Stegostoma tigrinum: one gene and its partners. The protein of the gene in region 1 binds, or shares a complex with, the protein of each later gene. Links are inferred from orthologs where the notes say so. Each region holds a gene or a part of one and is shown in the gene's direction. Other genes may lie near its edges.

Evidence for each region.
Region 2: med12 (region 1) and mediator of RNA polymerase II transcription subunit 13-like share a complex: the UniProt entries of both Homo sapiens proteins name them as parts of the mediator complex. The link is inferred for Stegostoma tigrinum from reciprocal best matches to the Homo sapiens genes MED12 and MED13L.
Region 3: med12 (region 1) and med24 share a complex: the UniProt entries of both Homo sapiens proteins name them as parts of the mediator complex. The link is inferred for Stegostoma tigrinum from reciprocal best matches to the Homo sapiens genes MED12 and MED24.
Region 4: the proteins of med12 (region 1) and cdk8 are in contact, whole or in part, in a cryo-EM structure (PDB 8TQ2), measured with the Homo sapiens proteins. The link is inferred for Stegostoma tigrinum from reciprocal best matches to the Homo sapiens genes MED12 and CDK8. Residues at the interface, in NP_005111.2 of Homo sapiens: Pro26, Gln27, Gln31, Glu33, Asp34, Leu36, Asn40, Val41, Lys42, Gln43, Gly44, Phe45, Asn47; in NP_001251.1 of Homo sapiens: His143, Ala144, Trp146, Phe180, Asn181, Ser182, Pro183, Pro186, Ala208, Arg209, His210, Thr212, Lys213, Met273, Pro274, Pro320.

Annotation. Positions count from the first base shown.
Region 1 is NC_081368.1:38,216,651-38,223,683, reverse strand, and holds the start of med12 (mediator of RNA polymerase II transcription subunit 12), read left to right. Parts: upstream 1-4,016; 5' UTR 4,017-4,039; coding exon 4,040-4,138; intron 4,139-7,033. UniProt on the Homo sapiens protein: Component of the Mediator complex, a coactivator involved in the regulated transcription of nearly all RNA polymerase II-dependent genes.
Region 2 is NC_081379.1:33,662,102-33,668,988, reverse strand, and holds the start of mediator of RNA polymerase II transcription subunit 13-like, read left to right. Parts: upstream 1-3,887; 5' UTR 3,888-4,402; coding exon 4,403-4,471; intron 4,472-5,728; coding exon 5,729-5,966; intron 5,967-6,887. UniProt on the Homo sapiens protein: Component of the Mediator complex, a coactivator involved in the regulated transcription of nearly all RNA polymerase II-dependent genes.
Region 3 is NC_081384.1:10,521,544-10,529,057, reverse strand, and holds the start of med24 (mediator of RNA polymerase II transcription subunit 24), read left to right. Parts: upstream 1-4,503; 5' UTR 4,504-4,598; intron 4,599-7,033; 5' UTR 7,034-7,039; coding exon 7,040-7,169; intron 7,170-7,514. UniProt on the Homo sapiens protein: Component of the Mediator complex, a coactivator involved in the regulated transcription of nearly all RNA polymerase II-dependent genes.
Region 4 is NC_081359.1:77,361,823-77,368,981, forward strand, and holds the start of cdk8 (cyclin-dependent kinase 8), read left to right. Parts: upstream 1-4,140; 5' UTR 4,141-4,360; coding exon 4,361-4,488; intron 4,489-7,159.

The DNA of each region.
Region 1 (7,033 bases):
AGATGCGGCAGGGCTCAGTGTGGCTGTCTTCTCTGGGGTTGCTGGCTGTGGAGGTTGTGGGCGGAGCGATGAAGTCGTCGGCTGTGGGCGGGGTTCCGTCGGCCGTGGGCGGGGTTCCGTCGGCGTCGGCTGTGGGCGGGGTTTCGCCGGCGTCGGCCGTGGGCGGGGTTCCGTCGGCGGTTGGAGGATCGGGGTGGGTGGCAGCAGCTGCGGTGAGGGTGGTGTGTGGCGTGTTGTACCTGGACGTGGAGGTGGTGACTGCAGCAGCGGTTCCGGAAGTTCTGTGGCCGGCGGAGGCGGATGTGACGTCATCGGTGGGGTCTCCGGCCGTGTCCTCATGGTCAATGGCGGCGGGTGCATGGTGGGGGAGGGGCAGGGACAGAGTCGGGATTTGGGAGGCGCAGGAATCCTCTTGTGGGTGGCAGGGGCCAGTGAGTTGGTTGTACTTACGATTTTTGGTGTCCAGTAAAGCTGAGTGGAACTGGGTGTTCAGTCTGTGGATCTTGCGGAGGATAAAAAACAGCAGGGGTCCTTTGCAGGTCTGGGAGAGGGAGGCGCTGAGCTGGGGCAGGCTGGATTGCAGTGTGTGGAGGTGCCGGCGCATGGCTGCAAGTGTCTGTTTCAGGACTCGCAGGGAGAACCGCTTCTGAAGGGTCTGAATATTCTGGGTGTAGAGGTGGTCATGGTTGGGGCCAAATTGGGAAGGCTGAAATGTGGACTGTAGTCCCTTGGGGATGATCTGGTTCCGTAGGCAGGTGCTGAGGAAGGTGATGTGGCTGTGGTACCTGGTTTGCTTCAGGACATGGTCGAGCAGTTTCAAGGCCGAAGAGATTACAAGAGAGTTGCAATGGGAGAGAGATTCTCTGAGGTTGGTCCGGAGGGAGGAGGGTAACTTCTTCAGGTTAGGCATCCCTGGAAGAGGCTTCGCAGTGAGGTTAAAATAGTATCAGAGATAATGGGAACTGCAGATGCTGGAGAATTCCAAGATAATAAAATGTGAGGCTGGATGAACACAGCAGGCCAAGCAGCATCTCAGGAGCACAAAAGCTGACGTTTCGGGCCTAGACCCTTCATCAGAGAGGGGGATGGGGAGAGGGAACTGGAATAAATAGGGAGAGAGGGGGAGGCGGACCGAAGATGGAGAGTAAAGAAGATAGGTGGAGAGAGTGTAGGTGGGGAGGTAGGGGGGGGATAGGTCAGTCCAGGGAAGACGGACAGGTCAAGGAGGTGGGATGAGGTTAGTAGGTAGCTGAGGGTGCGGCTTGGGGTGGGAGGAAGGGATGGGTGAGAGGAAGAACCGGTTAGGGAGGCAGAGACAGGTTGGACTGGTTTTGGGATGCAGTGGGTGGGGGGGAAGAGCTGGGCTGGTTGTGTGGTGCAGTGGGGGGAGGGGACGAACTGGGCTGGTTTAGGGATGCAGTAGGGGAAGGGGAGATTTTGAAACTGGTGAAGTCCACATTGATACCATATGGCTGCAGGGTTCCCAGGCGGAATATGAGTTGCTGTTCCTGCAACCTTCGGGTGGCATCATTGTGGCAGTGCAGGAGGCCCATGATGGACATGTCATCTGGAGAATGGGAGGGGAAGTGGAAATGGTTTGCGACTGGGAGGTGCAGTTGTTTGTTGCGAACTGAGCGGAGGTGTTCTGCAAAGCGGTCCCCCAGCCTCCGCTTGGTTTCCCCAATGTAGAGGAAGCCGCACCGGGTACAGTGGATGCAGTATACCACATTGGCAGATGTGCAGGTGAACCTCTGCTTAATGTGGAATGTCATCTTGGGGCCTGGGATGGGGGTGAGGGAGGAGGTGTGGGGACAAGTGTAGCATTTCCTGCGGTTGCAAGGGAAGGTGCCGGGTGTGGTGGGGTTGGAGGGCAGTGTGGAGCAAACAAGGGAGTCACGGAGAGAGTGGTCTCTCCGGAAAGCAGACAGGGGAGGGGATGGAAAAATGTCTTGGGTGGTGGGGTCGGATTGTAAATGGCGGAAGTGTCGGAGGATAATGCGTTGTATCCAGAGGTTGGTGGGGTGGTGTGTGAGAACGAGGGGGATCCTCTTGGGGCGGTTGTGGCGGGGGCAGGGTGTGAGGGATGTGTTGTGGGAAATACGGGAGACGCGGTCAAGGGCGTTCTCGATCACTGTGGGGGGAAAGTTGCAGTCCTTAAAGAACTTGGACATCTGGGATGTGCGGGAGTGGAATGTCTTATCGTGGGAGCAGATGCGGCGGAGGCGGAGGAATTGGGAATAGGGGATGGAATTTTTGCAGGAGGGTGGGTGGGAGGAGGTGTATTCTAGGTAGCTGTGGGAGTCGGTGGGCTTGAAATGGACATCAGTTACAAGCTGGTTGCCTGAGATGGAGACTGAGAGGTCCAGGAAGGTGAGGGATGTGCTGGAGATGGCCCAGGTGAACTGAAGGTTGGGGTGGAAGGTGTTGGTGAAGTGGATGAACTGTTCGAGCTCCTCTGGGGAGCAAGAGGCGGCGCCGATACAGTCATCAATGTACCGGAGGAAGAGGTGGGGTTTGGGGCCTGTGTAGGTGCGGAAGAGGGACTGTTCCACATAACCTACAAAGAGGCAGGCATAGCTGGGGCCCATGCGGGTGCCCATGGCCACCCCCTTAGTCTGGAGTCAGTCTGATTTTATTTCTAAAAGTAGGAATTTATTAAAAGCCACATTGACAGACTGTCTATAAATTGTGTGCTTTTTGAACAAAATAGAATGTATATGCAAATGCAAATTCACCTCACAAATTTATATGTGAGTGTGTATGTGTATATGTATATGTTTGTGTTGGTGAGGGAGAGAGAGAGAGAGAAAGTGTGTGTGCGTGTGTGCGTGTGTGTGTGTGTGTCCAAAAGCACACAATTTATAGACAGTCAGTCAATGTGTCATTTTATAAATTCTTATGTTAGAAATAAAACCAGTCTGACTTCGAACCAAAACATGAACAAATTCTAAACACCTAACATGTATTGTCTGACCTAAAATGTCACCTCTTCTTTACACCGATAATATCTTTAGTTCTCGCAGGGAAGTGACTCGAAAGAAGTTTGGAGATTCACACATACATATTAATAAATTAAAACCTTCTAACTGATTAAAGATTTAACAGCATCTTATTGAATTGAATTGAAATGTTAAATAAAAACCGAAAGAACTGTGGATGTTATAAATCAGGAACAAAAACAAGGTTGCCTGAAAAGCTCAGCAAATCTGGCAGCATCTGTGATGTCAAAAACAGAGTTAATGTTTCGGGTCCAGTGATCCTTCCTCAGAACCTCAGAAGAGTCACCGGACCCAAAACGTTAACTCTGTTTTTTCCTTCACAGATGCTACCAGACCTTCTGAGCTTTATCAGCAACTTTGAATTGAAACATTTATTGTCACGTGTATTCAATGTAAAAATACACTGAAAAGTGTGTACCTTGGCCATACATACATGGCGCCATTCACATTAATTTTTGAATAAGAAAAAAAAAATAATTTGAGAGGCTTAACTTTCCTTGCAGGTTTAATACATCCTGATCAGTTGTGTGACTTTTTGATCTTTTATTTATAAATTCTGTGTGTGCGCGTGCGTGCGTGTACTTCTTTCTCACTTCGCCTGATGAAGGGGCCTGTGTCCCCAAAGCTTAGGTTTTCAAATAAACTTGTTGGACTATAACCTTGTGGCGCATGATTTCTGACTTTGTCTACCCCAGTCCAACACCAGCACCTCCACATCATAGTTTATTTCAGCCATTAGAAAAATAGTTATCTGGAATGTTGCCCCTGGTTATAGTAGGGAATTTATGTGGTCCAGGCCAAAATACTACATTTATCATCATTTGTCCTTTTAACCAAAATGCCTCTTCGGCTACGACAATCTCCACTAGCGCTTGGAGTCGGTAAATTCCGGTAGCGCCCGGAGTCGACAATGTTCGTCAGCACTCGGAATCGACAAATTCCGGTAGCGCCCGGAATCGGCAATGTTCGTCAGCACTCGGAATCGACAAATTCCGGTAGCGCTCGGAGCCACTCGTTGGGGCAAGCCGGCTTTCCCAAAGATGGCGGCGTTCGGAATATTGAGTTATGAGCACAGGCCGTTGAAAAGGCCTCGGCTCGGGCCGCCAGACGTTTATCCGCAGGACCCCAAGCAGAAAGAGGTAGGAAAAATCGTCGAGAATCCAGGGGAGGACGGCCAGTCACTCAGTAAGGCAGCCGGGCCGGCGGGGTGAGTAAGCCGGCGCGGGGAGCCGGGCCTAGAGCAGCGTCCATGTAAACAATAAACAGTCCGTATGTATGGGTGGACTTGGGCCTAGAGTAGCCTTGCAGACAGCAGCAATAAGCTGCTCTTGTACTGTCGGTCCCTAACCGTGGGTTGGTCACCCTGTCTCTGTGAGATAGAGTTTGGGCTGGAGCACAGCTCAGCCATTTTAACAGTTAACTACTGGACCGACCTATCAATAACACCTGGTTAATATGGAAATTCGTCATAGATGGTACAAATCTTCACTGTCTCTATCTGGGAGAAACCCAGAAGCAATCAACTTCCACAGTGTTTGCGATTGATCTTGAAGCTGATATATTTTTACTCTTAAAATAATCGGGAAATTTTGAGGATCTGTTGTGCTTCCACACTCAAATTACGCCACACTATATCATCAAGTACTTTTTCTTTTCAGTTAATGTACTAGACCTCAAACCTCAAAATGAGAAGCTATTTAAGATCACTGAACCACATTTTCAGCTGCACAACATACACCGTTACTGTCATTTAGATTCTTTTTGGCTGCCCGCTGAACTCCATGTCCTCCTTAATTAATTTTGAGACCCGTCCTTTCAAGTAACTCTTGGGCCTTGCCTGATTAAAGCTTTGCAATATTTTTTGGCCAAAAAGTCCCATTTAGAATTAATAATAATAATTTCTGGTAGTACTTATAAAGTTGGGCAGAGTTAATTTTTCAGAGTGAGATGACTTGTCCTGAAACATCAGTTCAGTTTCTCTCTCTAGATACTACCTGATCACAGTATTTCCAACACTTTTGTTTTCATTTTTGATTTCCATCATTCAATATTTTGCTTTTTTCTTCCCCTCATGTACGACTTTGATTTCCTTGAATCTGTTAGAATCTTGAGAATTTTTTGGAACTGTTTTTAAGAAAGGATGGTGGAAATAAAGTGCTTGAATATTTTTAAGACTGAGGTGGATAGAACCTTATTAAGCAAGGGTTGAAAGATTGCCTGGCGGGAATGCGGATTTGAGGTTGCAATCCGATCAGCCATGGTCTTATTGAATGCTGAAGTAGACATGAGGGGCTGAATGGCCTGCTCTTGCACATTGTGGTGTGGGAATAAAAGGGCAATTATCATCATGTTTCTTACCCTCTTCATTGTGGATTCTTTCTGGGTACTGATCTTTTAAAAACAAAAGACGTGGTACAATTTCATTGGTACCTGTGATCCTCTAGTACTTTGCCCAAGTGTCTGTTGTTCATGTAAGCTTAGTGTCTACTGACAGGTTCGTTAACGAGCAAGATTGTGCTTGCGGGAGGTGAGGGGGGATGGGGAGTTCTAGGCTTTGGGACAGGGGTTGGGGAGTGTGGGTGCTCTGCTAGTGAGGAAAGATATTGGCTCAAAACTGAGGTGATACTGCTTTCAATCATGCTGTTGTAACCTCCAGCTGTTATTTGTCCAACATTGTCTTTATCAGTTCTTTGATCTTCACCAGATAAAACTCTGACTTACTTGAAACTTCAGTGTTTGCAAGCTATTTCAGATTAAGTCGACTCACCAACTACTTATGTTTCTATCAACCTTTGTTGGTTTCTTGTTCACCAATACACTGATTTCATTATCTATTCTATGATTACAAATACTACCACTGATTCATACCGGCCTAGCTCTAGTCTTACATTCATTATGATCTTCTATGTTTGCAGTTCTGTTTTGCTGTGCATCTCCACCCCACCATTCGTACTGAACATTTGAGCTGGCATTTATTAATGTTTAGGAGGAAGGATGTGAACGAACTGCTGCCAAGTTTGTAGACTACACAAGAATAGGTGGAAATGCAGGTTGTGAGAGGGATGCAAACAGTTTATAAAGAGATATTGATAGGTTAAGTAAGTGGGTGAAGTTGGCACATGGAGTATCATGTGGGAAAATGTGAAGTTGTTCATTTTGGAAGGGAGAACAAAAGAACAGAATAATTTAAAGGAGAAAAATTGCTGAAAGCTGCAAGGCAAAGGGATTTGGGGTACTTCTACATGAAACTAACATGCAGGTGCAGCAGGTAATTAGGAAGGTCAATAGAATATTAGCCCTTAATGTAGAGGGGTTGAAGTACAAGGGTAGGGAATTCTAACTGCAGCTGAATGAAGGCTGAATGGTTGGGACTCTACTCACCAGAGTTCAGAAAAATGAGTGGTGATCTCATTGAAACATAAAGGGATTGACAGTATAAATGCTGAGAAGATGTTTCTCATCATGGGAGAGTCTGAGATCAGAGGGCATAGCCCAGAATAAAAAGATGCCAGTTTGAGATGAGGAGGAATTTCTTTTCTCAAAGGGCTTAGTGTCTTTGGAACTCCTTGACCCAGAGAGCTGTGGAGAAAGTGTCCCTTGTGTATAGTTAAGGCTGAGATAGATAGATAGGTTGATGGGGAAATCAAGGGCTACGGGAAAAATGCAGGAAAGTGGACATGAGGAATGTCAGAGATAATGAAATGTGAGGCTGGATGAACACAGCAGGCCCAGCAGCATCTCAGGAGCACAAAAGCTGACGTTTCGGGCCTAGACCCTTCATCAGAGAGGGGGATGGGGTGAGGGTTCTGGAATAAATAGGGAGAGAGGGGGAGGCAGACTGAAGATGGAGAGAAAAGAAGATAGGTGGAGAGGAGAGTATAGGTGGGGAGGTAGGGAGGGGATAGGTCAGTCCAGGGAAGACAGATAAGTCAATGAGGTGGGATGAGGTTAGTAGGTAGGAGAAGGAGGTGCGGAGTCCATTGGGGATGATCCGGTTCCATAGGCAGGTGCTGAGGAAGGTGATGTGGCTGTGG
Region 2 (6,887 bases), on another chromosome or scaffold:
TAGGTTTCATTTTAAGAACAGTGCAACAGGGGACCCCCATGACAATACAACTTAAAATATCATTGGAAAAGCAGCACATTTTTATTTCTAATAAATATTTACAATTAACAACAAAGAATTCATTCAACGAAGCATCCAGCTATCAGTTCAATGATTTTAAAGCAATCACTGAATGTTACAATCCTTTGAGTATAGTCTTTTTCAATTTTCATTATGCATAACATTTGTTTTCTAGAATATAGCATTGAAAACTTGTTTGAATTTTGTATCCTAGATATTATAATAGTACTGTATATAGTGGATCATATAAATTCTTTCCTGATTGAATGGAATATGTTTTAAAAAACTCAATATTTTTTATCATCCTGAAAATGTAATGAACTTCTCAAATTATTAAACTAGCACTATTTTCATCCAATGACACTGATAAAGTGCTGGACATTAATAAAACCAGCATTTTCAAAATTAAAGCATTTTTTTGGACAAGGGCATCAGTCGGAATGTAAAACAGAAATACTAATAAAGCAGTTTTAAGTATACTGCAAACCATGTACCTAAAGAAGGTAATTTTTAAAGTAATTTAAAAAATAGGTTTCTTTTACCCTGAGGTTAGGTAGACGTTATACAAATACAGTTTTGTACTTTACAGATCATCTATTTGCTTATGCTTATATTTTATTGATTGAAATTAATCAACAGCAATTACTATCACTGCATGCTGGATAATTAACCCCAGGGGTTTCATAGCTGAAATAAAAATTTTCATTGTGCGGAGCAAAAATCACCAAAAGCTCTAATGAAGAACATAATTTGAATCCAACTGAATGAAAACTTTAAGTAAAGACACCACATTTCATTTAAAATTTGATCTTAAAACATTTATGATGTATTACCACACTAAAAGAATAGGCAAAAAAATATAGTTTTAATATTGTGCATTTATTGTCAGGTGGCCCATCTTCTAGATTAATCATCAAATAGCAACAGCATCAGTAACAATTGAAGCATTATGCCATGACTGATTACTTGTTTTATTATAGCTGTAGTTGAAAATATTTCTGGATGAATGATCACAAATCCATTTTGAAAGAACTAGAGTATGTTGTTACAGATGTTTTTACTTAGTCTTATCAATATGTGTCACTTTAGAAAACATCAGTACGCCATCATGCTTCTGTTTAAAATAGAACCTGAAGGAAAATACACAATCTAAAAATTGAAATAACATTTTACATAAATATATTTCAATGCATTGTTGATTCTTTTCATCCCATAACAAAATATGATACTAAGATCCAGTGGAGTTCTAAGTATAAAATCATGCTCTTTCATATTCATTTTAGCTGTGAATAATAATAGTAGCTAGTTTTTATAAGATATGGTTTAGGATTTTTAATGTAGTGAAATATGATTGAGTGGTGAAAATATTCCCAACTCTGATATTAATATGCCTGTAGGTATGTGATGGCCTCAATGTAGAAATAGATAGTTAATTTTCCATCAAGAGGCTGCTTCAAACTGAAATATCATCATACAGCATGTATGGCTAAGTATTTTAAATAATAACCTCTGTACAGTTCATATATATGATCACTGAGGTGTTCAGCCTACAACTATTCTTGTGTGAAATATGGTTGATATGTTTTTTTACAGGGTGTGAAGATATCTCAATTCATTGACATATCCAATTAAATGCACTCAATAGAAACAGACAAGTCGCTGAGTGATGTAATATTTACAAGCTACAAAATTTCAAAGATATCAAATTTAATGAATGCAGAAAAAGTACCATGAGAAAATAAGAACAATGTGCACTACAGGTCACTGATATGTGGTTAGTCATAACCATTGGGTTGTTTTTCTAACTATTCCTTATTTGTGGAATTTGTTCCAATATTAAATCTAGACGCATCACTAAAGACATACAAAGTTGAAAGCTTTCTTGTACCATATACTTAATTCTTTCCAAGAATACAGTTGCAACAATCACATCGTCTTCACTGCTCATTGCAAAATCACTTTCGGAAGAATATAAGTATGTACGTATTTCTATAATGTTATCATCTATGTTGGTTCAATGACTGACAGCAACCTAAATGTAAAATATATAGGTCAGCAACAAACTACACTTTTGACATTGAGCTACACTGTGAAACCTGAATATTATCATAAATTGTGGGCAATTCTTTACCTTTTGTAATTATGAATTCCTCATTTTCTATTCATTTTTAAGCTCATTTTTATCCCTCTCCCCATGCATTGCATCATTCCCTGCCGAAAAATCGGTCAGTCTGTCTTCTACCAGGCATCTGCCAACGTCGCTGCATAACTGCCTGCTCAAAGGTGTAAAAAAGTAGCTTGGACTGATTCGCCCTTTGATGTTGCTTTCCTCTTTGAGGGAAACTGTCTATCTTGTGTTTTCTATTCACTTACGGCACAGCGGAGATTTTGCACTTGCCATACAGGAAATACATTTAGAAGGGAAAATGCAGAGGTTCTCCTGGTTTAAAAATTGAAATAAATATTTACATTTTAAAAGTTCCAATTTTAAAGCATAACTATCTTGCGTCCAATATAAACCATTATTGCATGAAACATTACCTGAATTGTTATTGACTCACTTTAGGAATCAAATATTTGGAAAGAGCATTGTTTGAAATAAAATATTCAAGACAGCTGTTATCTAAATAAAAGATTATTACTATAAGCCATTTCAATTGTGTTATTGGGATTACATTGATTGGAATAAACGCAAAGGACGGTACTTCGACAGTTCTTTCCCACAGTCAAATATCAGGGAGTGTCGTCAATTAATACATCGAATTCTGAAGATAACCCCTCCATCCCATTTCACTGTCAAAATTGACTTCTACTGACATATTTGGCTGTATTCCAGTCTCCTCATTCTGTTATTTTCCAAAGTAATATCTGCGATCCTGGATATTATTACTGACATTCCATTTCCACAAATTGGGATACAAATTTATTAAGTACTTTATACAATGGATTTAATGTTATAAAGTAGATGTGAAATTCTGAAAGTTCCAGAATACCTCAGCAATCTTCTGGAATTGTTTAACTGTGAAACAGACGCCCTCACTCAATGAATAAATAAAAAGAGAACATGTATTGGGTTAAAAGGGGAAGGACCGACTTCAATGGGAGACTTCCAATCAATTCATGAGAACTGCAACAGTATAAACAAAGTAACAACACGCTGAAACACTATTTTGGGCTTTGATGAAATTGTGAAGGCATCATTTAAAAAAAAATCTGATTATGCAATGCATTGATGCAATTTCATTAAACTAAGGATTTAAGGAATTGGGGTTAGGTGTTCACCTGCTGACAAAGTTAGAGCCAGTGCACAGTTTCCACCGGCCACACAGGCCTGGTCAACTCTCCTGCCGGCGAAGGCGCTCACGAGCGCCACCAGTGGGTGGGCAACACTACAGCAACAACCTCGTCCCCCGTTTCCCTCCCATACCACCTTCCCAACCCGCGCACTGTCTCACCTCAACACCCCCAGGTCTCCCCACACCCCGCCACACTCACACCCCTTGCGCAGGCGCGGAAAGCGAGCCGGGGTGTTTTTGTGCATGTGAGAGACAGAGAGAGAGAAGAGCCGGTGGGGGCGGGGAAATGACACTTCGGTCCGGCAGCTCGTGCCCGTCGAGGCCACGCCCCCTCCTCCCTGCCCCAGCTCCGCCATTCGACGGTGGGATGGGGAGGAGCGAGCGGAGTGCGAGGAGCCTAGGCTTGAGTGTGCTGCGCGGGGAGGGGGAGGGCGCGCGTCGTCCATGTGACGCGGGCGCAGCCAATCCTTGGCGGGGGAAAGACGCCCGCCTCAGCGCTGTCGCCATTACGCTGATTGCCTATCTCTGTCTCTCTCCGTGTGTGTGTGTTATGTATGTATGTATGTATGTATGTGTGTGTGAGTGTGAGTGAGTGAGTGGGAGAGAGGGAGGAGGGAGGGGAGCCAGAAAGAGAGAGCGAGAAGAGCAGCAAGCAGCCTTCAGTGGATCACTGGCGGCGGCAACAGCAGTAGCAGCGAGTGATTTCCCCCCTTCTAACTTGGGAGGCGGACGACGACGTGAAAGGACAACACACACCGAAATTATCTATCTCTATATCATCATCAAAGCTTGGGGGAGCCTCCTGAATTAAAGCGGCGGACGTCACTCCTTCCATCGCTCTGGAGAGATTTTTAGTTATCGTTTTTAAAACATATTTATTCGTTATTTTTCCCACCCCCTCCTCTGGGCGGAGGAGGTTTTTTTCTGGTGAGGGGAGGTGATTGTTTCATCCCTCCCGGTTCTATCGAGATATTATTTTTCTTTGCAAGGGGAAAGCAAGACGGAATCTTTAATTCGACCTCCGGAGAGAAAGTCATGCACGGAGCATGACTGCAGCAAACTGGGTGGCCAACGGTGCTAGCTTGGAGGACTGCCATTCGAATTTATTCTCTCTGGTGAGTGTGAGAGAGACTGGAGAGAAAGAGAGAGGGGCCTTAGGCTGTGTGGGAGCAGCCATTTTCTGCTAATGGTTTAGCATAACCGTTTACATGGCCTTATTTTCCTGTCTGGAGTTTATTCCCTAACGCCCCCCCCAACTTATTTTTGAATATGTCCCACCTCTTCTCCCCCCCCCACCCCTCCCAAAAGCCTATACTACGTATTGCATATTATTGTTGTCTCTCAACGGAGCTGGAAGCTTTTAATCCACCATCTTGAACTGGAAAAATGTCTGCATATTTCAAGCCGAATTAAAGCATGTCTTTTTTTATTGGGGATGGGGGGTGAAGAGGTGGAGTTGAACGTAATCGCTACATGGCATCTGATACTGTTTGCCGTTTACATGTCATTTATTTGGCAATTTGTCTTATTACCACCGCTGTCCTCGGATTTTCCGGTGCCCGTTTTTTTAATGCTCCCGTGTGCAGTAATAAATCATGTCTCTTGTCTGAAGTTTTAATGTTATGTACTCTTTCTGCATTGGCAATGTAGTTGAAATTTTTCTCTCCGTGAATCTTCTTTGACTGCATCGTTCAATCCACAGTTTATTTTAATCTTGTCTTCATAATATTCAAAATATTTTAAACGTTCATGGTGCATTTCAGTTGACGCTTGGACATAACCTACAGTAAGGAAATATAAATTTTGCGGAAAGGCGTTCTGCTCTCGTGTGTTTATATTTTGTGAAATTACGCATCTTTAAAAATAGTATAAGATTGTTGAGTGCTTCATTCATATACAAGTACTCGTAGAAACACTTACTTTCACATTATGAAAATAATGTATTTCACATCTTTCCAGTGGAAGTTCTGCTATACTATTGAGGTACGTTTTGATCAATCAAGAGTTAATGAATCAATTTCCTCATTTGTATGTTATTGTTTTCCAAAAAAAAACTTCGGATACTGCAAAACAAAACAGCAGTTGCAAGAAAAACTCATGTCTGGTAACATTTTGGAGAAAAAGCAGAGTTAAAGTTTGGGTCCTGAAATGTTAACTCTGCTTTCTGTTGACAGATGCTGCCAAACGTGCTGAGATTTTTCCAGCAACTTCTGTTTTTGTCCATATTTTGTTTTGCAATCAGTGTAACAATTTAAGTATGTCTGTCTAAGTTCAAAATATCATCCTCACCATATCCAATAGATTTAGGTTTAATTGGTCCTTCTTAATTTTTTTTCTATCGAATTGTTTTTGATATGTTTCTCAACCAACAGGCTGAACTAACTGGCATCAAATGGCGTAGGTACAGTTTCCAAGGGCTAGAGGGCTGTGGTCCCATCATCTCAGCTCCAGCTCAGGATGATCCTATTCTGCAGACATTTATTCGATGCCTACAGGCCAATCTACTATGTGTATGGAGACGAGATGTGAGGCCTGAAGCCAAGGAGTTGTGGATTTACTGGTGGGGAGAGGAGCCGAATTTAGTTGATATAATTCATCATGAATTACGAGGTGAGTTCCATCTTTATCATATAAAATGGCTATACTTTTGGAATTTCCAAGATTGATTACTGTTGCTTTGGGATGCATAGGCTAAAAAATTAAAGAAGGATGTGTAATAGATCAAATCTTTAAGTGGACTTTATTCCCTTGCAAAGCCATCTCAATTGCTTAGTTGATTATTTCCAGGCTGTCTTTAAAAATGCTTTTTTATGACTGTTAATTTCAGATAGGCTCCTTTGCAAATATAAAATGTTTTACAGTAATGTTAAATTACAAGTTCCTCCTGGGATTTTCACCATAATTCATCAAACTGTTAGGGACTTTGAATGACATACCTTCCCTAGTAACTATGAAATCAAAATTTACATTGTTTGTGGTTTTGACATCTTGTGTAAGGGTGTGTGTATTGTAGTGTGCCTGTGTATAATGAAAATATTTTGTGTTATTTGTAAAAAAAAAGTAGAAATATTGAGTACTTGCTCGTGTAAATTTGTGTTGATCTCCAGTGTTTGGAATATTTTGGATACCTGCAGTTCAGGTAATGATGCATTGATTTAGCAGTGGCAGTGATTGGTCGTTTACAGCTTTTGGTCTCTGGAAAGATCCAGAGGGGCCAACTGCATGGTAATTTGACTCTGTCAGCAGGATAGCTGTATACTATTCACAAGAAAATTCTTAGGATTCTTAACTGTTAGTTCACATTCTCCTTTATGTTTTGAAATACTACAGTTTACTTGTTTCACATACATAATTTGCTATTACTACAGGAAATTATTTTGTGCTGTTTTGCAAGCCAGAAATAGCTGATGCTTTGCTTAATTTCTGTGAAAGAGTGAATGCTGATTTGCATATTTAAACAAATAGGTATCAAGTAAAATATGAATATGGTCTGCTTTGTGGAAATTTTTTGCATAGTGAATTTAGCAACCT
Region 3 (7,514 bases), on another chromosome or scaffold:
TGGTATAGCTGGGGGATATTAATGTTTCATTACAATTCAAATTCTGGAAACCTCCAACCAGTCCTCACCAATACATGCAGCAAGTTCATTTTCCCCAACTGCACTCAACTACAATTAAAGCTGCAGCAGCCAAATCAAGCTTTTATTTGGAGCAAGATAGAGACTGGCCATGTAAGATGCTCCAAGTGAGCTCCTCTGCTCACCAGTTTCTTTTTCTTTCTCTTTTTTTATTTTACTTCCCCTTCCCCCAACTTTCAACTGCTTAAACTACCTGAAAAAAGGAGGCAAGTCTGAGACACGGGAGAGGAGGTGCAGCCAGAGGCTGCAGTGGGAGCAAAGTGAGTGAGAGCCGGCCACGGGGACGAGTCCTGGAGGGAAGACCTGGACAGAGGCCGGTGCGGGGAGGTAGCCTGGCCCCATGTTCTGAAGCCCGGCAGGCACAGACTCAGTGGAAAAAGACTATAACTCGAGTACTTTAAATAAACTTCTTATTGTCATTCTGGACTTTTAAACGTTGTATTCCCATGCTAGTCTTTTTTTTACTATTTCAATTCTGTGACAATACTTAAAGTATCTGTTCCAAGGAACCTTGTACCTAAGGTGGCACCAGAGGCAATATTACAAACTTTTCACTGCACATGACAATAAAGGCCATTCTAATTCTAAAGAAGGATGGAAAGTGAAGATTTGGGGGTGACTCCCATGTGAGCACTTCTTGTAACTCAGAATATTGAGGATTGCTTGGGAACAATTGAAGGCAGACTCGGAATACTTTGACAATTACATGTTGCAGGACAGGATAGGGAGCTGGCTTCTCAAAGAGCATATGGGTTTTACACACTCCAGTGCAATTTTTGCAATGCACAATCACTAAGAAACACACCACTCTGGAAGGTTTAGATTTTGCAATGGATCTTGAGGGATTCAATATGCACAATATTCCCATAACTCTCTAAAATACCTGCACTTTCCCCAGTTCTGGGAAAATCTCATGATGTTAATCACAATTAGTGGCATATGTTCAAACACCAAAGCTCCATGCTCTGAATAGCTTTCCTACTACACCTCTCATTCTCCTCCTTCAAGGCGCTTCTTAAAACCTACCATTCAGATCTAACATCGCCTTATGTGGCTTGGTGACATACTTTGCATTGTGATGTTCCCATGAAGCTTCTTGGGACATTTCATTATGTTAAAGACACTATAAAAGTGAAAGTTTTTTGATCATATCTGGAGGTTATTTAGGGCTGATCAGGTAAGGGATTTAAATGCGGAGAAACGGGAAAACTTTTCCATCCTGGTGTATCATTGCCAAGTGCTTCCAGGTCAGGTACAGCCTCATGTTCCAGCAGAAACTACAGCAAAACGACAGAACTGTTACAACACAGAGGGAGACCAATCAGCCTTTCATGTTTGCACCTCCGAATGAGCAGATCATTGTACTCCTGACTTCTCCCTTTCTTTCTTTTCTGGAAGCAGTCTAAGTTCCTTTTGAATGCTTTAAAGTGAGCCTTGCCTCCACCAGTTTCAGTTTGAGACTGCAGACCAGGCCATGTGCTCCTTGTAAAATGAAATTTCTCATGTTGTTGCTTCTTTTAATCAATACTTTAAAATCAGTTCCCGCTTGTTCTCAATTTCTTAAGTGGAAGAGTTTCTCCTCATCTTCTCTGCCTAGATCTCTCATGACACTGAACATCTTGATCAAATCTCCTTTGTGCCAGTGTGCTACTTCAAATTCTATTACCAAATCAACAATTCAGGTGATTACTAATTTTGTGGCAAATTCAAACAGTTGTGTTTTACTGTAAGCTCATTCCAATAAGATGTGTTGAAAATAACCCAACTGAATTCGCCTAGTACTTACTGTGGTGAAAGCTCACACCCAATATCATAACCTCCTTTCCAGATACTGAATGTCCTGCTGTCTAATTCTTGCATTTTCATTTTCTCTTGCTTACTCACATTATTCCTGACAGTCTGCATGGCTGTTTGCTGTAACTTTTCTGGTTTCAAGCTATTGCGTTTGCCTCCACCCTCCCAACCCACCTTAGAAACGGTAGTGACTATTTCATAATTGGTGCTATGACAGACTATTTTGAAAACAAGGGCAGAAAATAAATACTGGCATTAAGAAGAGTCAATGGATTACTTTTGAAATGCAGCATCTGTTACAAAGTAGGAAATCTGACAGGCAATATTTGCACAGCAAGATTCCACAAGAACTGGGTGTTAACATTGACCAGAAACGTAACTGGACTTTCCACATAAACACAGCGGCTACAAAAGTAGATCAGGTGTTAGGGGTACTGAGACAAGTAACTCGTCTTTTGACTCCCCAAAGCCTGTCCACCATCTACAAGGCACACTTCAGGAGTGATTGACTACTCCCAACATGCCTTGATGTGTGCAGCTCCAACAACATTCAAGAAACTTCAAACTCTCCAAGACAATGTAGCCCACTTGATTGACACCACATCCACAAATATCCACTCCCTTCATCCTCAGTAGCAGTAGTGTGTGCTATCTACAAGATGCACTGCAGAAATTCAGACAGCACCTTCCTAACCCATGGTCACTTCCATCTAGAAGGACAAGGGCAGCAGATACATGGGAAAACCGCCACCTGCAGTTTCCGCTCCAAGCCACTCACCATCCAGACATGGAAATATATCGTTGTTCCTTCACTGATGCTGGCTTAAATCTTGGAATTCCCTCCCTAACAGTATTGTGGGTCAACCTACAGCAGATGATCTGCAGCAGTTCAAAAAGGCAGCTCACCACGACCTACTCAAGGGTAACTAGGGATAGGCACTAAATGCTGACCTGGCCTGCGATGCCTACATCCCATAAAAATAAATTTAAAGAAATGACATGTTCATACCCTGATCATCTGCTTTCTTTTGTTATCTTGACCACAGACAAATAGTTTATTACCATTTGAGGCAGCCTCAAATTAACATCTCAACCAAAAGGCATTGCAAAAGACAATGCAAATCATTACACAAAAGTAGGAATTGGCATCACCTTGGCAGAAACTTCTGCCTTGCCTGATGCCGGAACCTGGATAAAAACACCTACTCGTGCAGGAGAGGCAGTGGTTTAGTGGTAATGCCACAGGGCTAGTAATGCAGAGACTGAACTCAGTCTTCGGGGATCAAGGCTGAAATCCCACTATAGCAGCAGGTGGACGTTAAATTCAAATTTATTTTAAAAATCTGGAATTAAAAGACCGTCTCAACAAGGTCATAAAATATCCCTAGCAAGCCATGCAATTCAATGGCATTTACAGATGGAAAATGAATGCAAGCCTTGCCAATGATGTCCACATCCAATGAATGAAGATTGTTTTAAAAATACATGGCTATAGGTAATTGCACTGACAATTAACTTCAGTGTTACAAGGCTGGGAGCTTCTTTCCCTCGACTCTTGAAGAATGCACAGGCTGAAGTGAGAACTGAATTGGCTGGCAAAAATCTGTCCCTAGTGAAATATTGCTATCTTAAGAGGAAGTGGAAAGCTGTACTTTAAAAAATTGAGGTTGAGAAGAGGGGGGGAAAAAGGCAGAAAACTGAAAAACAAATAGGAAATAACTAACTCGATTTTTAAAAAATAATGTTAAAAAAATACATTTTACTGTTGCTAGGAAGAAAATAAATCAACATATCGTGCAAGAAGCCCATGTTATTGAGTTCATATAAATAGTTCTGAATGTCGAATGGAGAAGGAATAAATCATGGCTTTAATTCATGGTATTAAAAACTCTCTTGTAAATTTCTCTCGTAAACGAAATTTATCACATATAAAGGGAGTAATCACCTTTCTGGGACAGGGATGGGGGAGCAATCGCGACTCATTGGGTTTAAATGAAATATTATATACGCTCCCATCCCAAAAAGTAAGCTGACCCCATTTTACGGGAAACGTACCGCTCGACCGAATCGATAGAACATCTGTCACCGCAGCCAACCCGCAGCCTAGGGAGGAGGCGGCAGGACAATCTGCATTAGGATTGCAATGCTGCAACTGTATAAAAACTATAATCCAATGAGTCAGAAAGACACAGCAGCCCCAGGAGAGATGCAAGTGCTCAAGGAGGAATGAGGCATAACCTTTGGATTCCAACCAGCATTAATAGGTTGCCAAACAAATCATATAATTTCAAGACAGCGGCATTTCATGGGTAAACTTATACCATTCACATTCATATGTGTACACACTCAAATATACAGATAAATGTTCGTATATTATCTTAAATCTAAATCTTATGGATTTTCAGCAGCAGAAACAGCCTGACTTACCATCTCTGCGCTTCCAAAGCAGGTGACAGGGCGCTGCTCGCGGGGCACTCTGGAAGTTGTAGTTTTCGCCCCTCCCTTCTCCCGCAGCTCCTCGGTGGTTCTGAACTACAACTCCCAGGAGGTACGACGCCCGACACCACCTCATTGACTCCATTGGCTCGGCCGGAATCAAGTTCTGCCAATTGCCGCCGGCATTGTTGGTGGGTAGGTGTTAGTGGGCAACATGGCGGAGTGTTTTGCTTGAGGGGTTAGTCGTTTCGAGCGGCGCTGAGTTTGGGATTTAGTCAGAAATATTTCAGGTAAAACACCTTTCATTTATTGTTTGATTCTAGTTGCTTTCTTTTTGGATCGAGGCTCAATCTTGCAGCTTGGCTCCTCCTCTAGTTAATCATAAACTAGCAATACACTGTGTAGTTAATGGAGGACCCCATATCAAAAATGAACTCACTATAGACTAACTCCCAAGATCAAAAATGAACTCAGTATAGAGAAAAAAAACCTGCAGATATTGAAATCCAAGGTAGACAAACAGGAGGCTGGAAGAACGCAGCAAGCCAGGTAGCATCTAGAGGAAAAGAGCAGATGTGTAGGCTTGCTGGATTGCCCTGTAGTGTTCAGGTATGTGTAGGTTAGGGGAAGGCTCTGAGGGCCAGTGATGACTTGTTGGGGCGAAGAGCCTGTTCCCACACTGTAGGGATTCTGTGATAATGACAATGAACGTTTTGAGTATTATCCTTCTTCACGATCAAACATGGACTCAATATAGACTGACTCCCCAGATCAAACATGAATTCAGAATTCAGAATAGATTGACTCCCCCAATCAAACGTAAACTCCCAAGTGAGTCCCAATCAACTCACTATTGACCAAATCCCCAGATCAAACATGAACTCAATATAGAATGTTAACCTAGATCAAATGTGAACTCATCCTCGATTAATATTTAGATCAAATATGAACTGACTATAGACTGACTCCCTAGATCGAACACGAACTGACTATAGAGTGACTCCCCAGATCAGCACGAACTCAATATAGAGACGCAAAAACTGCAGATGCTGAAATCCAAGGTAGACAAACAGGAGGCTGGAAGAACTCAGCAAGCCAGGCACCATCTGGAGGAAAGGAGCAGTCAACATTTTGAGTATTACCTTTCTTCAGGATCAACCATGAACTCAGTATAGACTGACACCCCAGATCAAACATGAAATCAGAATAGTTTGACTCCTCCGATCAAACATAAATTCACTCTTGACTGATATTCGGATCAAACGTGAACTCACTATAGGCTGATTGCCCAGATCAAACATAAACTCACTATAGACTGTTATTCAAATCAAATGTTGTGCTTCTAAGATGCTGCTTGGCCTGCTGTGTTCGTCCAGCTCTACACTTTGGTATCTTGAATTCACTATAGATTGATATTCAGATCAAACGTGAACTCACTATAGACTGATATTCAGATCAAACATGAAGTCACTATAGACTGACTCCCTAGATCAAACGTGAGTCCACTATAGACTGTTACCACCGGATCAAATATAAACTCTCTATAGATTGCTATTCAGATCAAACATGAAGTCAATGTCGACTGATATTCAGATCAAACGTCAACTCACGATTGACTGTAACCTCCGTTCAAACTCACCATAAACTGGTACCCTGTATGAAATGATCTAAGTGTATATAGACACCAGATCAAGCAAGAACTCTAACTTGTGCATGATTAATTATTGATCACCAGTTTAGATGCAGACATCTTTTTATCAAATCTAACTGGGAAGAACCTTTCATCTCAAACCTATTATCACTTAAGGGATCTGGCACTCAATTCACAGCTTGCCATTTACTCACAAATGGCACATATGCTAGACCTAATCATAAACTATCACAGCAATCTAATGATAATTTTGCAATACATGCAGCAGTTTTGCAGCAGTTATTTACAGGGTCGGCATGTACATTTTCACACCAAATTTTCCATTAGTTAACTGTACCAATAAGTTGCCTGTAGATACCACCTTGAACCTGAAGAAAGTCCCGAGGCTTCTTTCAGAAACTTAATGGGGAAAATAGATGATGAGCCACAGAAGGAGAGAACAAAGGAGCGAAGAATGGCGTGGCCAAAGAGGTGGGCTTCAAGGAAAATAGCTGGAGCAAGAAGTGTTTTACTATAAATGCAGTGGAGTTGCATTTTTAAAGAGCGGAATCACTGACAATTTTAAATGGAGGATGATCTGGACCAAAAGGAAGGAATAGATCATTGAGCATAATACTGACTGCTGAAGTGAGCAATGCGCCAAATGGAATCTTTTTTGTTGTAAATTGTTATAGATTCAGTTTGTTTCTGCAGTTAGTAGTACTGTGCATATTTCGCACCTCAAGGAATTCTGTGGGGTAGACCAAAATTTGGAAGCAAAGCATTTCTAAATACTGCTTGGTGTTATTCCACATTCATTTGAAATGAACATTTTAGCCATCCACAAATGAGTTTTACTGAATTTGACATCTGCATTGCTAAAGTTTTAGCAGTCAGAATTGTTTTTTATTCTGATCAAATCATTGTGTAGCTGTATTTACACAAAGCCATGGTATTGCTTAGTGCCTTGACAAATTTTTGTGGGTCTGTGACACCTTGATTGTCCTGACGGCATTGCCGTAATGCCTAATGATATTAGCAGGGCGGGCATGGTGAATTTGATTATTTTTGCCGTTCTTTTGCCTATCCTGGCAGTGACAGATGAAGGTGGTGAACCTGAGGCAGGCCATTCTTCAGGCCTGGAAGGAGCGATGGACAGACTATCAATGGGCCATAAACATGAAAAAGCTTTTCCCAAAAGGTCCCACGTGGGATCTCCTCGGGCTTTCAGGTGAGATACTCAATGGCTTGACATTTGTCTCTGAGCCTTAGAGATAATTAATTGGTTGTTTAAAACGGAAAAGCAAAAGCTATGCCATGAGTGAGTCTTGTATCACTTTAAAACAGATATAGGAAATAGCTCATTCCACTGTTTTGTTAACCTGTTAACAGTTTAATCTGTCTGCTGAAATGAATAAAGTACTGATCAGATATCCAGAGCTAAACCCCTAAGGCAAAATATTTGAAAAAAAGTTCCATCTGCCTTTCTAGCAAAAAGCAGAATATGCTGGAAACACACCTGGGCAAGTGGTGTATGTGGAGAGAACATACAATTAATGTTGCTGGTGTAAATCCT
Region 4 (7,159 bases), on another chromosome or scaffold:
TTACTGTAGACCAAGCCGCTTATTTCACTTCACACTGTACCATGCTGATAAAGAGGTTTACCTCAGCTGTTTTACTAGGAATCACTCAATGACTTCAAAACATTGTCATCCCAAACATGGAACCTCAAATTACAGTCCTTATTATTTAAAATAATTAGGCAACATTTTAACCGTTCTACTTGTGGCTAGCATCCAGCATCCAAAGCTGTCCAGTTTAATGAGTTCTTGAACAAAGAATCATTACTGGGCTGAAGTTCATTGTGACTCATACAATTTCTTCTGCCTGGTCAACATTACCACCTTCTCCTTCCAAATGTTTCGTGTTATCTGTGGTTTAAAAAAAAATCCATTTATGATAATTCATTGCAGAATGGCATTTGAAAATCACATTTCAACACTGTAGATCATTCCCAGGTATTCCTGGTGTTCATTCTTATGTCATGGTTCCTCGTTCTTGTCATATATTTAATTGTCAAATAGATTTGTATCCTTACTTCTCTTAGTTATGATTTCTCTTTTATATAGACATTTAGTCTCTGTGCAGTCTTGGTCAATTAAGAGTGAGCAATTTGGAATGGACAATAAATGCTGGCCAAGTGAATGATGGGTAGATCCAGTGAAGGAATAAAAATAAATATTATTCAATTTGGGCATCAAATTGCAGCAATAAAGTTAGCAGATGCTTTTGAGACTTTTTAGGGCTGAACGACAAGAACAGAGCATACTTTCACTATATTAATGTTAGCCAAGGTCTCAGAATAAATATTGCAAAACATGTAGCAGAACAGTCTATTATACTGCGACATCTATTGTTCATTGATCAAATTATACTCATATATTGGTGGCCAGGCTAAAGTATTCTATTTTCTTTATTCATTCACGGGATGAGGGCATCGCTGTCTAGGCAGCATTTATTACCCAGCCCTAATTGCCCAGAAGGCATTTACGAGTCAACCACATTGCTGTGGGTCTGGAGTCACATGTAGGCCAGACCAGGTGAGGATGGCAGTTTCTTTCCCTAAAGGACATGAGTGAACCAGATGGGTTTTTCAACAATCAAGAATGGATTCGTGGTCATCATTCAGTTCTTAATTCCAGATTCACGAATAATAGAGATGGTGGGACTGTCTGTTAGCCAATCAGTTGCTTTTGATCGCTTAATTTTATGTCAATTGCTATTGTTGAAGGTTTGATAGGAACCCAAAAATGCGATTATTTAAATTTGCTTCTCCCCATCACCATGAAAAAGAAGAATCCACACTTTGTATATTATTTTGGTAGACTGAATTTCTTGTTCTATAGAACTGCCATCTTGTCTGTCATGAAAATAAAACTTAAGCACCTTTGGTCTGGCTAGGGTGGAAGATGGGCAAATCAGAGATCCTTCTCATGGATGTGGAATAAAGAGTTAATTACACACTGGCTGAAGAATAGCTACTTAGCAGAATTGAAAGCGCAAAACCATAATGATGCCTGATCACATGGAACAGGAGCCTGGGTCCATAGGATTCCAGATGGCCCCAATTCTTGTAAATTGTTACACTTAATAAAGCCTGTTCATGTTCACTCACAAGAGTGTATACAACAACTAGTCTGCTCCTGTGTGTGGCCAATGCGATGATCCAGTGTTATGATTCCAGCTTACAATAATGCTAGAGAAATCAGTTCCCAGAGTGAAGCCTGGCTTGAAAAACCTTATATTTACTATTTTCTTTTTGTTTCACATGGCGGTCAGTCACATGAATTTATTTATGAGGGTCCGCCCAATGGACTTCAAACAACATTTACTGCACAGAATAAAAATAAATAGGAACTATTAGAATGTTGTAATTACAGACATCAGAAAGAAAGATTCATCCTTTTTATCCTGCCAGTACTCTTACAGGCACTTAAATCTCAGTGAAGAATCACTCCAATCTCCACATTAAAGCTTCTTGCTCAGTTGGCATAAGTTCTAATCGTTTTTTTTGGTAAATTTCTGCACATTCATGAAATTTTTCAGTTTCTGTTAGTTTCCACCTTTTTTTCCTATTAATGTTTTTTCTGAGATCCTTAAAAAAGTCTGCTAATTCAGCACACGGTTACTTAACATGGGTTGATTAAACTCATGTGTTGAAATAGGCTTTTAGGATGTTTTCTTCTCTGACACTTCCATAGCTTTATGCTCTGGAGCTAAGTACCTCAGGACTTCTCCCCAACCCCAACTGCTGGGAAACTGTAAACAACAGCATCAATGCTATTACAGGCCTTTTCCTCCTGTACAAAAACACTTATGGCTCCTTTCTCGGTTGGCCATAAAACTCAAAACAACTTTGTAGAATTCTGGTCATTTAGCTGAAATCGCATGGCCTTTTTGTAAATAATGTTTTGAACTGCACAAGTCAGATTTTCATTTAATATCTAATGTTCATTTCCCCTCACTTCAGACTCCAAGTTCTCAAATAACATATTACATTTTCCCTCATAACAAATGGATACTACCTCCCTCTCTCTCTGTGGCTTTCTCCACATGTGGATTATCTTGGGGAAAGACTTTTGCTCATGCGGTCAAGCTGTTGTGTGACCAGTGGGCATCTAGGGGGTGCAGGTCCACAGGAGCGATACAGCTCAAAATCTTGTCATTTAAGTTAAATTTCCTTTGACTTTTTAAAAATAAAGTCAGAGTATTAACAGCAAGGAAAGAGACCCTTTGACCTATCATGTCCACCTGGTCATCAAATATCCATCTACCGTAATTCCATTTTCCAGCACTTGGCCCACAGTCATATACTATGGCATTTCAAGTGCTCATTAAAATAGTTCTTTAATACTTGATAATTCCTTCCTTTTCCACACTTTCAGGCAGGATGTCCCAGATATCCATCACTCTACGGATGAAACAAAAGCTTTCTTCAAATCTCCTAAAAAGCTCTTGCTCCAAACTTTAAATCTCTGCCCTTTGGTTATCGTCACATCTACTAAGGGGAACTATTTCTCCCTATCTACTCTATCTCTGCCCTTGGAATCTTGTATATCTTAAACATATCTGCTCTCAGCCTTCCTTGTTCCAAGGAAAACAACTCCAGACTGTCTAGTTTTTCTTCACAGTTGAATCACTCCAGCCAAGAAACATCCTGATGAATCTACTCTACATCTTCTCTAATAATCACACTTTTCCTATGGTGTTGCAACCAGAACTCCACACAGTACTCCAGCTGTGGCCTAACTAACATAATGTACAGCTCCATCACAATCTCCTTCCTCTTGTATTCAACACCCTGACCAATGAAGGTACGTAACCTACACACATTCTTAACCACCTTTATTTACCTGTCCTGCTGCTTTCAAGGGTATATGGACAAGCATACCAAAGTTCCTGGTTGTCTACTTGCTAGGATCTACCATTGAATATGTATTCCCTTCTCTTGTTAGTCTTCCCAAAATGCAACACTTCATACTCTTTAAGATTAAATTCCTTTGCCACTGTTCAGCTGATGTGACCAGCCCAACCATATTATCCTGTAGTCTAAGGTTTTCCTTCCAAGTATTTTCACCACCAATTTTCAGGTCATCTGCAAACTTACTGATTCTACCTTCTACTGTACATTCAAGGCTAGATCATTATGGTGCACAACCAACGCCAAGGAACCCAGCACCTAATGGACACATGCTTCCAGTCAAAAGACTTCGCCCCTCACAGCGCTGCTGGCCACGAAGTTCGTTTTGAATCTAAAACAAAAACAAAATTGCTGGAGAGGCTCAGCAGGTCTGGCAGCATGTGTGAAGGAAAAAACGGAGTTAACGTTTCGGGTCTGGTGACCTTCCTCATAACGGATCCAATTCATTTTGGATCTAATTTGTCACATTCACGTGGATCCCACGGGCATATTTTTGGTTTCATTCGACGCGAATGTGGCTCAGCATTTATTTATGTGCCATGAAATCTGAAGTAACCAAATGCCTATTGGAATTACTTCGGCATATTATCATGTTCCTAACATCCCGGGGACGCTAGACAATCCATTCCGAACATGCTCGTACACAGGACCTTGCATCACACTTCACGCGTGCGAGCACCCATGCACGAGATATGCTAGGCAACGGCATACAATGAGTGGCGGCGTGCATTTTCTTCACGACAATTTACGGCAATGCCGTAGGTGGGATTGATGTGTGATACCGGCGTTGTGTAGAGGTAGCGAGCGGTGAGGGGGTGATCGCAGCGACGGCTCGTGCAACCATCCCACGTCAACAGGCCAACCAGCGGCTTATATGGTGCCTCCGAGTGTCACCCAGCGATATCGTGAACCCGCAAGAGAGGCGGTCGGCTTCAGTTAGACAATACAACTATTAAAACAAAATAGATTGGAAAGCTTCGAAAATGGACTATGATTTCAAGATGAAGCTGACGACAGAGAGGGAACGAGTGGAGGACCTGTTTGAATATGAAGGCTGTAAAGTTGGAAGAGGCACTTATGGTCATGTATACAAAGCCAAACGGAAAGACGGGTAGGTAAAGGTTTCAAGAGCATGTAGGCCACGCTGGTCATTCTTGATGCAGGTTCTTGCTTGGATTTTAATTGGCGAAGGAGCGAAGCTGAGTTCTTTCTGCCAATAACTTTGTCGTGCGCAACCTGTTTTTGAAGTAAAGTATGTTGCTTGTCTGGTGCAGCTTTTCGAGTCTTTGCGGTTAAATACGTGCAAAAGCACTTGAGTGAAACCAACTTTACTGTATTTTTATAGAGTAATATTTGATTATTGCCTTTGTTAGGGATGGTGTCAAGTAAACCATTTGGTCGTGAAACCTTTGAACTTGTATGCATCCTTCATAATTACTATTTCTCATTTCAATTAACTTTTAAACTAATGAGTCTGGATAGAGCTGGAAATATTAATGGACCTACTTTAAATTGTTTTCTTGATTATTGTTGGATTGACATCTTCATTGAATTGTTTGCGACCTTTAAAATACATTCGTGGCAAAGTTACACATGGTGATATATTTCATAAGTTTATTGATATTCAAATGATATGTAATGACGAGTACTTTAAAAAGCTCTTCCAAATCTTAAGTAATGCATGTAAATGCCACACTCTTTCCCTTCCCCCCCCCCCCCCCCCCAGCAGGATTTCCAGTGGCATTTAGATTGGTTTCAAATGCTAACTCTGAAATTAATTCTGACCTTGGCATTTACCTGTTGGAGGTTTTTTTTTTAAAACGAGCTGTTGTTTATAAGAGTGGGAATAGAATTCATGTTGTAGAATTTGACTTTACACAAAATGTGAGTTTTATTTTTGTAATTTTTTTGGGGTGATGTTGCTGTGTTTGACAAACACTAGTTAGGGTCAGTAGCTGCTTTTAGTTTTCATTCCTCCTGTGGATGATTTTCTTTGTCAGCACTAACGATTGCACCCTCCTGGTTTGTTATGACTGTCTTACAGTTGTGGAGAAGAATAAGGCAAGATTTGGACATTCACATAGATTTATAGTTGGAGTCATTATCATACCATTAAGGAAGAAAAACTCAGCTGATTTTAGCCTTTCTATTTGGGATATTGGTATACTGTTGCACCTCGTAGTACAGTAAAGATATGCAAATTCAACATAGAATGAGGGTTGACCTGAGACCTTCTCACCTCCCCAGTTGAGAAATACACCACAGATGCACTTATCGTAGTGAGGGAGCTTCAGAATCTTTTTTAAACATTTAAAATAAATTCTCACTGTACCTGGAATAACCCTACTTTTTTCTGTAATTACAGCTATTATTGTGACAAAATTGAAATCAGTCAAATTGATAAGTTATCTTCTTTCCTCATTGCTTTAATGTAAGTGGGAATCAACATTGTGGATTATTCATTTTTAGAATAGAAAAGCAAAATTTTTTAAAAAAGCATGAAACATACAAGTGTACATGTTCAGAGGTACTGGGTATACTCGTACAAAGAATACAGAATTTTAGCTTGCAGGAACAGCAAACGTTTAGGAAGGCAGATGGCATGTTGTTCTTTATGGCAAGGAGTTTGAGAATAAAAATGAGGAAGTCTTATTCCACTTGTATGTGGTTTTGGTGAAACCACACCTAGAACATAGTGAATTGATGTCTGTATTGTGTTGGAGGCAGAATTGTAAGGGTTCATTAGATTGGTCTCTACAATGAGAGATTGTCCTATGATGTGAGGCTGAGTAAATTGGACCTACATACTTTGGAGTTGAGGCAAATGAAAGATGATCGCTTTGAAATGTACAAAGCTCTTGTTGTTAAGAACTGAGGTGAGAAGAAGTTTCTTGTGACTCTTAAAATTTTCCACTCAAAATGTGCAACCTGCAAGGTTGAATATGTTTTATGGCTGAGATGGACAGACTGTATGCCTCAGAAATGAGGGATATAGGAGTTAGTCAGCAGGAAAATGGAGTTGAAACCCCAGGTTAGCTGTGAATAGCCGGGTAAGCTCTAGTCTATTCCATCTGTATCTTTTGCTGTTATAAGCTGCAATGAAAGAAAAATAAGATGCATTCAACAAGATCTGCTTTAACTCTTACACCATGAATGTCTTTAAGATTGTGCACCTATATTTTGAAGTTAGAGCATTGTTTGTAATCTAAAATAATTTAATCTTGGCAAACGGTAGCTGGGTAACAAATAATTCTGGTATATCCGTCTAATTTCTTTATGATCCTATTTGCTAAACCCTCCTAAACATTTGAAAACAATTTCGTGCCATCCTGCAATGTCAGTTTTCAGCATTTTGATCTTTTATAGTTTATGAAAAGACAGCTCATTTAATTTTTCCTAATCTTCAAGCCAACGCCAAATGTTTCACAGTCTGCAGTTGTCCTTGCTTGTGGATAAGGTCATAAGGTTAAGAATATATTGTTTGTTATGTGAGATGTTTACAGATTTACATACTGTTGCTTTAAAGCCCGTTTGTTTCTGGTGAAACAATTTCACGTGATCAGACAGTTGTGGGTTCAAGCACCATTCCAGAACTTGGGTATGCAATCTAGACTGTCTCTCAGTGCATGATTGAGGGAGTTATTCAAGATGCAATTTCAAATGGTGAATTAAACTGATACTCAAATGCCTGCTTAAGTGGCCATTTAAAAATTTCATAACCCTTGTTTTTGGAAAAAGAAATTGTTAAAGTGTCTTAATTTTGTACCCAGTCATTATAGTGC